Linked DNA regions of Notamacropus eugenii. The protein of the gene in region 1 interacts with the protein of each later gene in a pairwise test. Links are inferred from orthologs where the notes say so. Each region holds a gene or a part of one and is shown on either strand. Other genes may lie near its edges.

Region 1 (7,966 bases):
CTAGCATTATCTAACAGGATCTCTGATGCCCGGCCCATTTGGGCAGCCTGTGCATTCCCCAGAAGCTTCTGAAACTGGTAAAACCAGGCTATCACTACCCTCTTCCAGTGATCCCCTTCCCCCAACAAGAAAGCCAGAAAATCTTTCTGCCCTAGGCCCACCCTCTCTCTAAGAGACAGTCGGGGAAGCAGTGTTGCCATGGCAATCTGGTCGTCCTCATCAGGCCTCAGCCTGTTTTCCCCACCCCCCACCCCTCCCCCCCACTAACCTGCCCCCCTTTGTTTAGGTCTAGGGCAGTCTTGTCATGTCACTGACACCATAGGCTGCTTTACACATGCATCATTCATCTCCTCCTGAAGCATCTCTTGCCCCCAGCTAAAACCCCTCCTCATACCCCACCCCCAATCAGAAAGGGAAAATCCTTTAATGCCCTTATGGAACAGCCTTCAGTACCATACCAAAGTCTCCATAGGGATCCAAGAGTACTCACACCTAGGGGAAATAGGGCCAAACATTACAACCAGTAGTGGTTCTTGCTCTACTAGGTGGGTGGAAGGAGAGAAGAGTTTTTCAAAAAAGAATGCAACTTCCTTCTTCCCTTCTATAGCTGATGTTGAGAGCCCCACTCTCTTCTAGGGCTCATGCTCTAAGGGAAAATAACCTTTGCACTTACAGAACATAAGCTTCAATGTCTCCCACAAGGACCCAGGACATCCCAGAGGGTGGGGCTGAGTGAGTATTCAGCAAGTGGTAGAGGCCTGGTTTCTACCCAGAGAGCTCCTGGCCAGGAGAGGTCTGCTATAATGAGAAGGGTTGGGCCCTATGGACACAGCTTGGTACTGTGGAAACAGTACTAGATCTGGGGTCAAAAAATACTGGGTTTGAATTCTGGCTCTGCCACTTACTACCTGTATGACTTTTGGCAAGTCATATGAATTCTCTAGGCCTCAGTTTCCCCATCTGTAAAATGAGAGGAGGGGTGGTTCTAGATGACCTCTAAGGGTTTCCTTCCATCTGTAGTTCCATTGATCTGTTACCAGGGTCTCTGGGTCCCAAACACCTGAAAACAAAGCTTGCCCAGGGAGAGCAAGAACCAGCCAAGTCCCAGGCAAGGAAGGAAGTGGAAATGAACACACCCAGAACAAAGGGGCAGGGCAAAGGAAGGTCCGGGACAGGGGGCAGGGAGGACAGGGACCAAGGCTGATATTGGTGAGGAACAGAAAATGGGGGTTGAGGGAGGCTCTTAAGAGGAGCTGGGTGCTATTGAGAGTAGGACCAAGTAGAAAATGGAGGATGAGTGAAGAACAGATGTTGGGCGGGTGAGAGGGAGAAGGCTCCCTAGAGATATCATGGACTGAGAAAGAGACTTTAGTCATTATTGGATAATCTCACAGTTGGTAGAAGTGATCATTCCTCAAGCCTTACACAGGGCATACTGACAGGATCCCCCCCGGGGCAACAGTTCTCACCCATGTGAGAGCTCAGCACCCCCCAAGGCCAGTGGGGCTTTGTGCTGAAAGTATCTTCTCCCTCCCTGGTCGGGGTTTCCATGGGTACTGGGAGCTGAGGAGAAAGTAGGGGCACTTTGTGGGCACAAAGCTTGCTAACTTTCACTACTGCCCATTATCAGTCTCCTACGAATCAACCCTTACCCTTTCACTCCAGATGTATCCCTCCCTCAGTTCCTCTTCTACTTCCTTCTTCCTTCTGGAGTCCCCTCATTTTCCTCATGCATACACTCCTGCCTCCCCACTATTCTGTTCTTGTAAATTCCAACATATGGCCTCTTATAATATTCCTATTCACAAAATACTGCCCTACTCCTCTCCCCTTTCTGACGCATTCCCCAACTCTCCACCTCCCTCTCTTATGCCATTAAAGCCCTCCCCTTCCAGGCCAAACCTTTTTATTTTGTTCCCCTCTTTCTCACACAAAGGAACCCCTTCTCTTCATACAGTGATGTCCCAAGGGATCTTCCACAGGTTTATCCTTCCACCTTACAGAGTCATATATCCACCCCAAGCACCTTCTCACTGGGCCCCTTCTGCCTCACTGGGATTGGGCTAGACAGGGCTGCCCCTGAGACTTGCCAGATCCCCCTCCTCACACAACTGACCCCACCTTTCACAAGCCCCTTCTCTCTCTTCATATCATTCTATCTACAGGCTCCTTTTCTTTTGTCATACAGACACTCTATTTCCCTCTTTCAAGCAGCCCTTCCATTTCACTCCACAGACCTCCCCCTCCGCCCGGGATGCACCCCCTAAATACCTTCACTTCTTATTCACAGCCCCCTCCACAACCCCGTTCCCGCCTCAGTACCCACCTCCAAAGCCCCCTTCCTCTCCTCCTATAGTCCCATCCTCACAGACCCCTCCCCTTTCTATCCCAGCGCCCCCTACAGACCCCTCCCCTTCCTCACACAGTACCCCACCCCTTCCCTTCCTCAAAACCCCTTGGATCCCCTCCCCCCTCCAGCTTTCCCACAGACCCCTTTTCCACCTAGCCTTCCCCATCCATCTTCTCCCCCTTATGCAACAACGCCCTGCATCCCTCCTCCCTCACCTGTAGCTCCAGTGGTCGATCCCCTTGCACCTAGTGAGGGGCAGGGACAAGAGAACAGGGGGGTGGGGGCGGTTACTGAGCAGCCGCAGCCTCTGCCACATAGCCCCTCCCTTCCCCTCCCCCAGGTCCGCCCCTTCCCTTCCTTCCTCCCTTCCCCGATCCCCGCCCCTCTCCCCTGCAGGTTTCCCCCCTCCCCAGCCCCGCCCCGTCCATCCCTGACTCCGATGGGCCCCACCCTGCTCCCTCGGACCCCGCCCCGCTGCCCGAGCTCCGCCCCACTTCCCGGGCTCCGGCTGACCGCTCGGAGGACTGGACCCCTCCGGGCTCACCCTTGGGCTGGCTCGGAGGCTCTTGATTGACAGCAGCGGTCTAGCGGCCCAAGCCGGCCTCCTGCTGCGCTGAGCCAATCGGCAGCCGAAGAGCGCAGCGACACACGGGGACTGCCTCAGGTCCCGCCCCGGCCACGTGCGGCTTCTGTGATGACAGATCGGGAGGGGGTGGGGCCTGGCCTTTGAGAGCTGAGCAGGACCCCGAGGGGTGGGGCTGGAGGCCGGTAGCCTGCGGGCAGTCCTGCGGCGTGTCCGGGCCAGTGTAGGCGTGTTGTCCGGGACTCGCAGGGTCACCTGTGCTCACGCTGCAGCCCGTGGGGCCCAGGTGAACTGGAGCACGAGCCTGCCCTCCCTCTCCTCTGCGTCTCTGCCCCAGCCTGGTGCAGAGGGGTCAGGTGCCCAGGAAGGGGAGATTCAAGTTGTAGCAGGGGCTGTTAACTGGTTTTGGACTCCGATTTATTCCTCAAATTAGCTCTAGAGTTGAGGAACCTGCGGCCTCGAGGCCCATGTGGCTTGACTGAGTTCAAGTTTTACAGAGCAAATCTTTTTATTAAGGGGATTTGTTCTGTGAAGCTGGCTTCCGTGTAAGAACCGCCCTCGAGGACTTCCTTCGGCCTCGAGACCACAGGTTCCCCATACCTGACTAATCCTTTCCATTTGGAGGCGCTGTCCAGTGGGGTAGTGTAATTCCTTGTAGGGAATCCTTTATGAGGCAGGGGATTTTATTTGCACAGGTAATGCTAAAACCTCAAAGCTGAAATAGAGGAACTCCTCTTAGTACAATTCCTTACGTCTTTGAAGATGACGGAACTTGACACTCAGAAACCTTAAGTGACTTGCCTGTGGTCATACAGGTCCCAAGTCCTCTGGTTGCAAATCATGTTCTTTTCATTATACCATGCAATTCAATAAACATTTATTAGGTTCCTACTATGTGCATAAAGCCCTGTCCTCCGTGCTAGAAATAGGCTTACATACTCAAATGAAAACCAACTCAGCTCTGGCTCTCAGGGAGCTTGCAATGGAATTAGGGGAGGTAAGACTAATAAATAAGATACAGATAAAAGGTGTTAAAGGGGAAAAAAGACATCCAGACCAGGAACTTCTCAATTTTTCTTTTTCTGTAGAGTCCTTGTTTTCTTTGTATCCAGTGAGATATATATGTATGTATATATGTGTGTAGGTATATGTATATATACACATACATACATATATGAAGAAAGGCTACTTTGTATTCAATAAGGCTTTCAAATGAATTTCACTGTTACTAACCACAACAGTTGAGGATGTGTGGAACAGTGGATAGAGAGCTGACGAGCCTGGAATCAGGAAAACAAGGGTTCCAGTCCCTCTTCTGATACATTATAGCTTTGTCCCCTTGGCAAGTCATTTGATTCTGTGTGAGTGAAGTAACTCCTTAGCACTTATCTATTAAAACAGGGACAGGCTATGATCTTCATAAGTGTAGGAAGTGCTTTACCCTGAGGAAATTGAAGATTCTTCCTACCACCACCACTGCATCTATATAAAATGGGAAAATGGTAATATATGCGCAAGAAATTATATATATTCATCCTACCGAAAATGTTTGTTTACTCATACGCTGAGTCATCTAATGAGATTCACTCCTTGCATTGTCTTGGTCCATCTCTCCACACTCCCCTCCCTCCACCCCCATGCTTCTGGTGTGGGCCCTTGATCTACAGATTAAGAACTACCAGTCTAGACAAGGGCAGCTTGGTTTCGAAGTGGATAGAGTGTGGGGTCTGGAGTAAGGAAGATCTGAGTTCAAATCCTGCCTCAAACACTATCTGTGTGACCCTGGGTAAGTCACTTAAGCCTGTTTGGGTTGTTAAGAAACCCTTTCAGTTTCTTCATCTGTAAAATGAGTTAGAAAAGGAAATGACAAACCACTCTAGTATTTTGGCCAGGAAAACTCCAAATGAGGTCATGAAGAGTTCGACATAACTGAACAATAACAAGTGTAGACAAGTGAGAGAGGCAGCTAGGTTGCTCAGTGGATAGAGCACTGGGTCTGGAGTCAGGAAGACCTGAGTTCAAATCAGGTCTAGATACTTACTAGCTGTGTGGCCCTGGGTGAGTCACTTGACCTCTGTTTGCCTTAATCCACTGGAGAAGGAAATGGTAAATCACTCCAAGAAAACCCTAAATGGTAAATCAATAAAACCCCAAATCACTCCAAGAAAACGCCAGAAAACCCCAAATCACAAAGAGTCGGACATGATTGAACAACAACCAAGTATAGACATGATGCTACATTGCCACGGATGTGTGCACTAGAATCGAAAGAAGTTGGGCCTCTGCCTTGCATCAGTCTTAGGAGCTGTGTGAATGCAAATGGAATGGAATAAAGGTGAGGAAGTGTCTCTGGCAGCCTGCTAAATAGCTTACCCTGGGATGCCCATCTCCCAGCTGCCTGAAGATGGCAGCATAGGGCAATACAAAACAGCAATGAAATGAGGGCTGGCCTGAAATTGAAATCCAAGAGACTTTTTTTTAAGAGTATCCCAGAAGGTATGTAAGAGTTTATAAGACTTTTGGGTAAATGTGTATATCTGTGTGCATCTGTACAATTCATAGTATCTGAGTGATTGTGTGACTCTAGAATTTCATTCCGAAGTGATTGGAATTTTGGGTGTTATAGGTTGGGGAAAGGGAAGAAGCATTTATATGGTGCATATTATGTGCCAAGTACTATGATAAATGGTTTTTTTAAACAAATATCATCACATTTGATCTTCACAACAACCCTGGAATCTAGATACTATTATCTTCATTTTACAGTTAAGGAAGCTGAGGCAGACAGAGTTTAGGTGACTTGCCCAGGGTCACACAGCTGATAAGTATCTGAGGATGGATTTGAACTCAGGGCTTTTCCATTCCAGATCCAGTGTTCTATCTATTGCATCCCCAGCTGCCCAAATATATTCTAGGTAAGCTTTGTTCCCAGCTTTGGGTTTCTATCCTCACCTGATTTCCTATATTTCCAGTCCTTTCTTTGCTTAAGGAAGCCTGAATTTTTGAAAACTGGAAATAAAATGAGTGTTGGCTGTTTGAGTAGGGGATGGTAGGCCTCCTTTGAGTGAAGGTCTACATTTTTTTCTTGAATGAAGACTCATTTCTGGTATACCACCCAAGTGATATCTGCTTGATGTCTCAAGCCTTTGGGTAAGAAATTTAGGACAGAGTAGCTGCCCATGGGGCTTCTCTTTTCTTCAGATATTCATGCTTAGCCCCAGAGATTTTACAGGTCCACTGTCTCCCTTTCCCCTTTCTTCTTCCCATTCCAATCCAACTGTCACAACAAATTCAAAGCTCCGTGTATTTGTTGTATTTCTAGAAGTTTCCATTCTGAGTCAGTAGGTTCTTCAAAAGGAGTGTTGAGGAGGGGGTAGAAGGAAGGAATATGTCAGTTCCAGGAGTTGCAATTAATTCCTAGGTTTTTTTGATAACTTCTTCATATTGACTCTTATCCTAACTAAACCCTAGGAATAAGGATTAAATCCTGACTGTAGGAGAAGTCCTGGTTTTGCCTGAGGAGAACAAAATGAACAAACAACCCCAAAAGTCAATAGGTGTGATGACCCTTCCTTGAGCGGGTGGGTGGTTCAGTGGACGGAGTCCTGGGCCTGGTGTCAGAGAGACTGAAGTTCAAACTGAACCTCAGAAACTTACTAGCTGTGTGATCCTGGTCAAGTCACTTAACCTGTGACTGTCTCAGTTTCTTTAACTGTAAAACTGGAACAATAATAACACCTACCTCCCAGGGCTGTTGTGAAGATCAAATGAGATAATATTTGTAAAGTGTTTAGTGAAATTCTTGGCACATAGTAGGAGCTTTAAAACAGGTAATAATAAGTAGGAGCTTGTTTCTCCTTTCCCCCATCCCCACCCCTTGAACTATCAGTTAACCTGCTCATGGCTCTACACCAACCAATCTATCAACAAGTGGCACAGTATTTTATTTAAATACATTACTACTCCTGCACTATCTTTTAAATTTGTCTTCTCTGTATCTCCTTTATTTTCACATAGCAAACAATCTAGTAAGCCTGCCTAAATTATCTCAATAGTCTCCTGACATCATGGTATTATTTCTTCTTCTTGCCTCTCCTCATTCCAATCCATCCTTTGCACTATGACTGTAGAATTATTCTTTATGCACAGATTTGGTAGTCCTCCCTGTCACAACTCTTCAGTGGTCCCCTAATTGTTTATCAGATAAATTTTAACTCCATCCTACAACAGCGATTCACAAAGGGTGGGTAGAATATGAGGGTTCTTTCAGAGTTCTAGAGTATTGTGTGGAACTTCTACTTGAAAGCCAATGAGAATGCTCAGCTGTTAGTATGCTCAGTGCAAAGAATAATACTGTGTTGTGAACAGCAGAGTAAGAAAACCAGTGGCCTAGAGTGCCCACCATTGTCTAACTGTGTCTTGCATTATGTTTCAAAACCAAAGTTCTGTGCCCTGACTATGTCCTTCACTCCTCTCTATCTCTTCTTTTGCTTACATCATTCCCTATGTCTGAAATAGGCTCCCCTATCCAGATCTGTACCTATTGAAATCTTATCAGTGCTTAAGCATCCAGTTGAAATGGTATTTCTTTTAAAAAGTCTTCCCTGAACCCTTCAGTTAGTTGAAAATCATCTTTCCTTTTTCAGAACTTGTACTAGCTCTTTTTATTTATCATTTTCCCTTTTGTAGTATAGTTATTTGTAGATGAGTTTGTCTCCTTTAAATGATGATCTAGCTTAAAGACGCCACTTGGCAGATGCCATAGGGGCTGGTGATCCACACCCTTCTAGTACTGAACCCTGTCATTGTGGTTTGCCTGGGGTTTCTCCCTATTTTTTGTTGGTTCATCAAAACCCCACCTGATCTACTCTGGGGACAGTGTTCCTTTTGGACCTTATCTAGGACTTCTTTTCTCCAAACAAAAAGTCATGTAATGCACAATCACAAACTGAGTATAGGACAAGTAATTTATTCTCACTCAGAAACTAATGACAAGACAATCACAAGGTCCACCAGTAGAATGGTTAAAACAG
Region 2 (7,261 bases), on another chromosome or scaffold:
CCCTTCCTTTCCCTTCTTCCCCTCTCTAAGGCTGCTTTACAGCTCATATCACTTGGGCAAAATGGAGATTCAATAGGCCTTGCCATCTCCCCTGCTGTTACAATCTAATGTACTCAAGGCTAAACCCTTTACCCTGCTGTTGCTATACCCATTACACCCCAGGGTGTTATCATCTGACTGACTATGAACCTCCTGGTCTTCACATCAGTTTAGTTGCAGAACCATTAGGTCTTCCTGGCCTTTCCATATGCCCTGCAGCTGAAATTCTTTTTTATGTAGTCTCCCCCAGTTAGAGTGTGACAGACTATTTTTGCTTTTTGGCATGTAGTAAGCACTTGTTAAATGCTATTTTCATTTGTTTATTCATATATTCAAAACAACTTCACCAGAAAAGATTTTCCCACCTTCTTTTTCTCTACCTTCTCTAATTTCTCTCCATCCTTGAGAGGAAAATAGTGTCTTCACTTCACTCTTTCTCATATAATTTTCTTTATAAGCTTTCTTCATAAGTTCAAACAATATTTTGGTCATTCTGTTTCTTTTTTACTTTCTCACCAGTGTGATAGGCATTTCAATCACCTCACTGGCATGACAAGTCTCTCTGGAATGACAGCTAAAACTCTCCAAACTATCAGCCAAACTGTTTTTTCTGTAACATTTCATTTGGATCTTAAAGCTAAAACACCAGTATCTGTAGTCTATGTGGGAAAGCCTAGTGAAACAGGTGGTACTGTAGCTGGGGACCACAGACCTCTTGGAGTCCATGGCTAGATTTCAAGAGGTTTGTGAATTTGAATGGGAAAGAAATACATTTTTATTTCCACTAATATCTAACTAAAATTTAGTTATTTCCTTAAGTTATTTAATTAATCTGAAGAGAGTTCCATCCAAAGCTTCATTAGACTGCCATAGGGACTACACAGCATACAAAAGAGTTAAGAACCCCTCCTCTAGAGGCTGCCAGGAAAGACTTCATAGATATGGCACTTGGTCTGATTCTTGGAAGACGTGTGTAAATTGTACAAGTGGAGCTTGTGGTGTAGGAGTGTGGCGTTCTAGCTGAGTAAACTAAGTCGCTGAGATGAGGGAGCAAATCATCACTCTGTGCAAAGGGAGAGATTAGAAGACAAGACTGGAAAGAGCCAGACAACAGAAGAGCCTCACTGTCAAATAAAGTCCCCAAATCCATGCAAACACACACATCTAATAGGCATGCATATGTATATGTATATGTATATATGCATTGTTGTTTGCTGTTCAATATTTTCACTTATGTCCAGTCTCTATGACCCCATTTGGAGTTTTCATGGCAAAGATACTAGAGCAGTTTGCCATTTTCTTCTCCAGCTCATTTTACAGATGAGGAAACTGAGGTAAACGGGGTTAAGTGACTTGCCCAGGGTCACACAGCTAATGAGTGTCAGAGGCCGGATTTATATCAGAGTATGAGTCTTCCTGACTCTAGTTCAAGCATTTTATTCATTGTATGACCTAGCTCTGTGTGTGTATATTTTCTATACACTGTATGTATATATATATATGTGTGTGTATATATACATATGTGTGCATATGCCCATATAGGCATACATAGAATATATGCCTATATCATATGCATATGTTGTGTGTATGTACGTATATATTGTGGATATATGTGTATGTATTTGTCTGGACTTGGGATTTCATTGGTATTGGGAAATCTTTGTTAGGAAACTCACTCTACCAAAGAAGATTGGCAATGAGTCTTAGAGAGTTGCCTCTAGGACAATGAGAAGTTAAGTGACTTTCTCAGGGTCATACAAGCAGTATATTTTTCAAAGAAAGGACCTAGGTTTTCCAAAGTTCTGAGATCATCTCTTTATCCCCTTTACCATACTACTTTCTCTGAATGTTCTCTCCCTCTCCTTCCCTTCCCTTCCTTTCTTCCTTCTCCCCCTCTCCCAACTCCTCCAGTTCTAGGCATGTTACAAATGCAAAATAAAAGCTTAGAAGGTTGGATAAAGTCAGAGAAATCTTGAGGAACGTCCAACAGAATACCTGTGGTTTGTGTCTCCAAAGACTATAGAGAATTTTAAATTCCTTTCACATTCTTTCCAAAGAAGATTTCTGTTGCCCAAAGGGAAACATTTTAAACTCACACTTCCAAATGGAAAAAATACAGCACAAATAGAAACACAATGTAATGGTAATAGCGCTAGATTAGCAGTAAGATTCACATTCTAGTCCGATAGTTAGCCCTACTTTGTGTCATCTTGAGCAATCACTCAGTTTTTCTAGGTCTTAGTTTCCCCGATTGTAAAATGAAGATACAAATGTCAGCTCCGACTGACCCTGAGCAAGTTACTTAGCATCTCTTGGTCCCAATTTCCCCCAGAGTAAAGGACCTTAATACGCACTCTGCCTATTTGCTAGGGTTGTTGTAAGGGGTCAATTGCAATTATGAATGTATCAATACTTGAATAAGACAGGCTCTAGCCATAATCATTTGACACTACCAGTTTATAGTAGAAAGAGCAATGGACTGGAGGTCAGGAAACCAGGACTTCAGAACTAGCCTTTTGATAACTAGCTCTGTGGCTTTGGGTAATAGAAATAATTAATAATAATAATGGCTAACATTTATATAACACATTAAGGTTTGCAAAATACTTTGGACATACTATCTCATTGGATTTCCATGATGACTGTACAGTAGGTTATGTTAGCATCTCCATTTTACAGTTAAGGAAAGACTAAGTTAAAGGACTCAACCCAGGGTGGAAAAGCCATAGCACGATTCTATAGCACGATTTGAATTCACTTCTTCCTCATCCCAAGTCTAGTCCTCTATCCACCATGCCTTCTAGTAGCCTCTATCACTTCATATCTTTGGGCCTCACTTTCCTTACCTGGAAAATAATGGAGTTGAATTAGATGCTCCCCAGCTCCTTTCTTGTTCTGAGAGGCTGGAACCTTTTGGAATATTGGCTTTTGGTTCTACAGCTGTATTTATCATACTAACAGAAAAGGTTGTTTTTCCCTTTTAAAAATAACTTGAGTTTTTAATTCTACCATCAATCAAAATAACCCAAAACAAGCATCAGAGAACTGGAGTGGAATGTTATTAATCTCTAGGGATATGTTTTACTGGCCATGTTCGGTTGGAAGCTGAATGTCTTACGTTGGGCATTCAACTCCATATCCTCTGGGGAGTGACAAACAGTTCTCCCATGAAATAATACAGCTGACTACAGCTTTCCAGTAGCTTAATTTGTTCTCCGGATGCTGAAATAATACATGGTACACTTTTTACAGAGACTGATGTAATTATGATAGCTCTTACTATTGAGATAAATAACAATTCAATCAGTCAACAAGAATTTATTCATAGATAGAGCTGGAAGGAACTGCAGAGGCCAATTGATTTCTCTCTCTCTCTCTCTCCCTCCCTCTCCCTCCCTTCCCCCCCCCTCATATTTCCTCTCATATGAGGAAATTGAGGCCCAAGGAAGCTAAGTGATATACCCAAAGTCATAAAGGTAGTAAGTATCAGAAGTAGAATTTGTAACCATGCTCTTCGAGTTCAGAACTAATGCTTTTGCCACTGGACCAATATGTAATAGGTGATGCCCATATTTTAAAGAGCTTCTTATTTTTTTTTAAACCAACAAAGACTTTAATTTTTTTGAAGTGTTTGAGGATTGTGCTAACTATGATTCTTTCATAGGAGGATAATTTTCTGATATAACATAAAATAAAGGATTATTACTTGACGGACTCAACTTTGTATTATCTAGTCTATGGAGTTTCCAGATCATGTCTTCCATTTTTTCCACTCCTGTTGGTTATCTTTAAAGCAATTCATTATATCTTTTTTCCAGCAGTTATCCAAAAGGCAGGCAACATAACATTTTGAGATGTGGTATCCCTAGAATCACTACATTCAACAAACATTTATTAAACACCTACTCTATGTGGCACTGTGCTGGGTATTGGAGGAGACAGAGAAGGTAGATAAGACAGAGTCCTTGCCTCCAACATGCTTACAATTTAGTAAGTTGTAAATCTATAAAAATAATGATAGTACCTAAGTGCATAAGAGCAATGTGAGACTTAAGTGTAGAAAGACCATTCCTTATCTGGGGAGATCAAGGAAGGCTTCCTGGAGAGCATTTGAAATAGCCTTTACAAGGCAGGTAAGAATTCAGCAGGTTGGATGGAAGAGGACATGCTAGGCATAGTAAACAGCATGTGCTATTTTTTGGAGGAAGGAAAGCATGCCATGGGGACAGGTAAGAGGTGTAAGAGAGATGACAAGTAGTCCAGTTTGTTTGAAATATAGAGCTCATGTAAAAAGAGTATGAGTTAAAATGGAAAATTAGGGCAATGGAAGATCCTGGAGAGTTGTGCAAATAACTATGATATAACATATGCACAAATAACTGTAACAAATGGGAATTTGAGATATGTGTAAAGCGTGAAAGAAATTTGAAGAAGGAAATATCATTTTTAACTAGGGATCAAGGAGGGCTTATATGTGGTGGCACCTGACATGGATCTTGAAAGAAGGGAGGAATTTCAACAAATGGAGATGGGAGATGAGAGTCCATTGTCAGCAGAGGAGATGGTGTAGACAAAGGTACAGAGACAGGAGAGAAAAAGTTAAGGATGGAGAAGAGAATAGGCTTGGATAAGCTAAGACTTTTGGAGCACCCTGTAGATACATGAAGTGAGATGGCATGATAAAGACGTAGAAACCAAAGGAAGTGTATTGCTGTTGCCCCGAGTTTAGAGTTCTCTTTCAATGCCTGGAAGTCCCGGGTCATTTGCTACTAGATTTTTCATTGCTATTCCTTTCCCTAATTTTCTGGGAAAATATGCAGATACATACTATATCCCTAATATGCAGATACATACTATAAATTCCCTATGGAGAGAAGACAGTTGATTTTTCTTTACCTTGTTTACCTACTCACTCACCCTCTGCCTTTTACATGCTCTCCCCAAACAGTATACTACCTCCTTGAGTACTTTTGAAAAGGACACTGACTCCATAGGAGAAAAATGGAGGTGGGATACAAGCTATACAAGTTTTTAGTTTGTAATATGGACCCTAAATGATAGCCACTGGACACCATCACTCTTTCTTGAGTACATCTTTTTTTTTTGCCCAAATTCTTTCTCTTTGACAATTTTTTATCCTTAATGATAACTCAATTCTAATTTTTTTTCCATGGACTTAGTTGGCAAGGTTCTTGGGTGTCCTAAAATCTGCTTTCCCAGCCCTCAGGTATAGGTGGGAAATTGTATAAACTGGTACCTCCTAATGTGCCTTAAAGAAGAAACCTTAGACATAGTTTATTCCCTGTGATCACAGGACTGATATGGACCTCAGAAACCATCTAGTTCAACACTGTCATTTTACAGATGAGGAGAGATACCATTTAGACCATTCCATGTGATATTGCACCTTAAAGTACTAGCTATGGACTTGGGTGTCAGAGAATAGTTTTATTTATCTGCTTGTGGGTTTCCTCCTACCCCTATAGACAACCAGATAAATGAAATGGTTTTATGATCCTGTGCCCCATTTTGCACCCTTTTATTTCTCCTCAGTCATATGAGTGGAAATGCACACCTGAGAGCCAATGAGACCTATATACTTATTTTCATTTGCTTTTAACCACTAGCTTCAAACATTTCCCTATCTTAGGGTGATTTGCTATAGTTCAAGCTTGGGTCTCTCACCTCTTATGGTAGGTCTTGTAGACAACATTTAAAAACCATAATTATAAATACAAATCCACAATTATGGCAATATTGGCATATTTCCTCATTCCTTCCCCCACCATAGTCAGTATTATATTATCCCCAGTAAGTTTGAGGATTTGATTGAATCCAGGACTCACTGGGAACAAAAGCAAATCACTATGACAGTTTCCTAGAGTTTCACTGAAGGTACATTTAACATAAATTAATCCTTTTATTTTAATTAGAATAATAAGGCTAATTTTTAAATTCCTGTGTTGTGACTACCAATGTGACTAGTGAAAAATCATTTCACTACCCTGGGCCTCAGTCTCCTCATTTGTAAACTAAGGCAGTTGGGCTAGTTGTTCTCTAAGTTACCCCCTTCCAGCTATAAATCTAAAATCCTACTACCAAATCCTATGATCCCATACTATTTCATGTCTCATGAATAAGGATTGTCTATAAACTTTGATCTGCCTTTTCCATTTGAAGATGATGCTATCAAATACATCAGTGGGATAAGTTTTCAGAATTGTTTTTTCCAGTAAAGGGGCTGGTTTTGTGGTGATTTCTCTGCACTTTTTAGTATCTGTTGTAGCCAACAATATATGTGGGTTATTCCCCAGGATTTAGGGTCTTTGGAATATGGTGAAACTAAATGGACCATGTCAGCATTAAACCTATAATCTCAATTAAACTGACAACATATTCATTAGCTTGAATAACCCACAATGTGCCTGGCACTCAGTCTGATCATGATTATTGGTTTCTGTGAATCAGAATGAAATAAAAACTTTACTGGGGGCCATAGCAGACTATGTGATTAGAAAAAACCGCAGACCAGAGGTCATTGGAGTTAGAAGGGATCATAAAGATTTTTTTTTGTTTCCTTCCTTTTGCCAATGAGGAAGTTGTGGTTTAGAGAAGTAAAATACATTGTACAAGATTTTACAGTTATTCATTAGAAGGGCTCAGACATAGTTCTGCTGACTCCAAATTCAGTGTTTTGCAATGTACCATGAGTATGTATAGTTTATCCTTATTTATAGGTTGTGCTGTACTAACCCACATATGTTATTCCCCAGGATTTAGGGTCTTTGGAATATACTGAAACTTCGTGGACTTAACTTGTTGATAGGGGGTGACATTTTCATTCCTGTACTGTAGGAAGATCACTTTTGACAGCTGAATATAAGACAAACTGGAGTGAAGAAAGACTTGAGTCAGGGAGAACAGCTAGCAGGCTATAGAAATAGTCCAAGTATAAGGAAATGTGGGAGCATGCATTAATGTGTTGGTGGTATCAGAAGACAGAAGAAGAAACATATGTGAGATATTGTGAAGGTGAAATCAACAAGACATGGAAACACATTAGACATGAGGAGTGAGAGAGAATGAGAATGATATCTAGATGTTGAGCCTGCGTGACTGGGAAGATGGTGATACTTTCAACCATATTAGGGAAGTTAGAAAGAGGGAAGAATCTGGAAGGAGATAAATTCAATCTTAGAGCTGTTGAATTTAAGATATCTGT

What was found. The genes of interacting proteins can lie anywhere in the genome.
Region 2: the proteins of ATOSB (region 1) and FHL5 interact in binary tests that used the Homo sapiens proteins (3 or more experiments, as listed by UniProt). The two-hybrid records come from large-scale screens. The link is inferred for Notamacropus eugenii from reciprocal best matches to the Homo sapiens genes ATOSB and FHL5.

The regions. Positions count from the first base shown.
Region 1 is NC_092872.1:78,502,466-78,510,431, forward strand, and holds the start of ATOSB (atos homolog protein B), read right to left. Parts: upstream 3,009-7,966; 5' UTR 2,895-3,008; intron 2,726-2,894; exon of another isoform or gene 2,596-2,725; 5' UTR 2,566-2,595; intron 1,564-2,565; 5' UTR 1,470-1,563; intron 180-1,469; exon of another isoform or gene 1-179. UniProt on the Homo sapiens protein: Transcription regulator that may syncronize transcriptional and translational programs.
Region 2 is NC_092873.1:172,750,942-172,758,202, reverse strand, and holds the start of FHL5 (four and a half LIM domains protein 5), read right to left. Parts: upstream 3,008-7,261; 5' UTR 2,993-3,007; coding exon 2,886-2,992; intron 1-2,885. UniProt on the Homo sapiens protein: May be involved in the regulation of spermatogenesis. Stimulates CREM transcriptional activity in a phosphorylation-independent manner.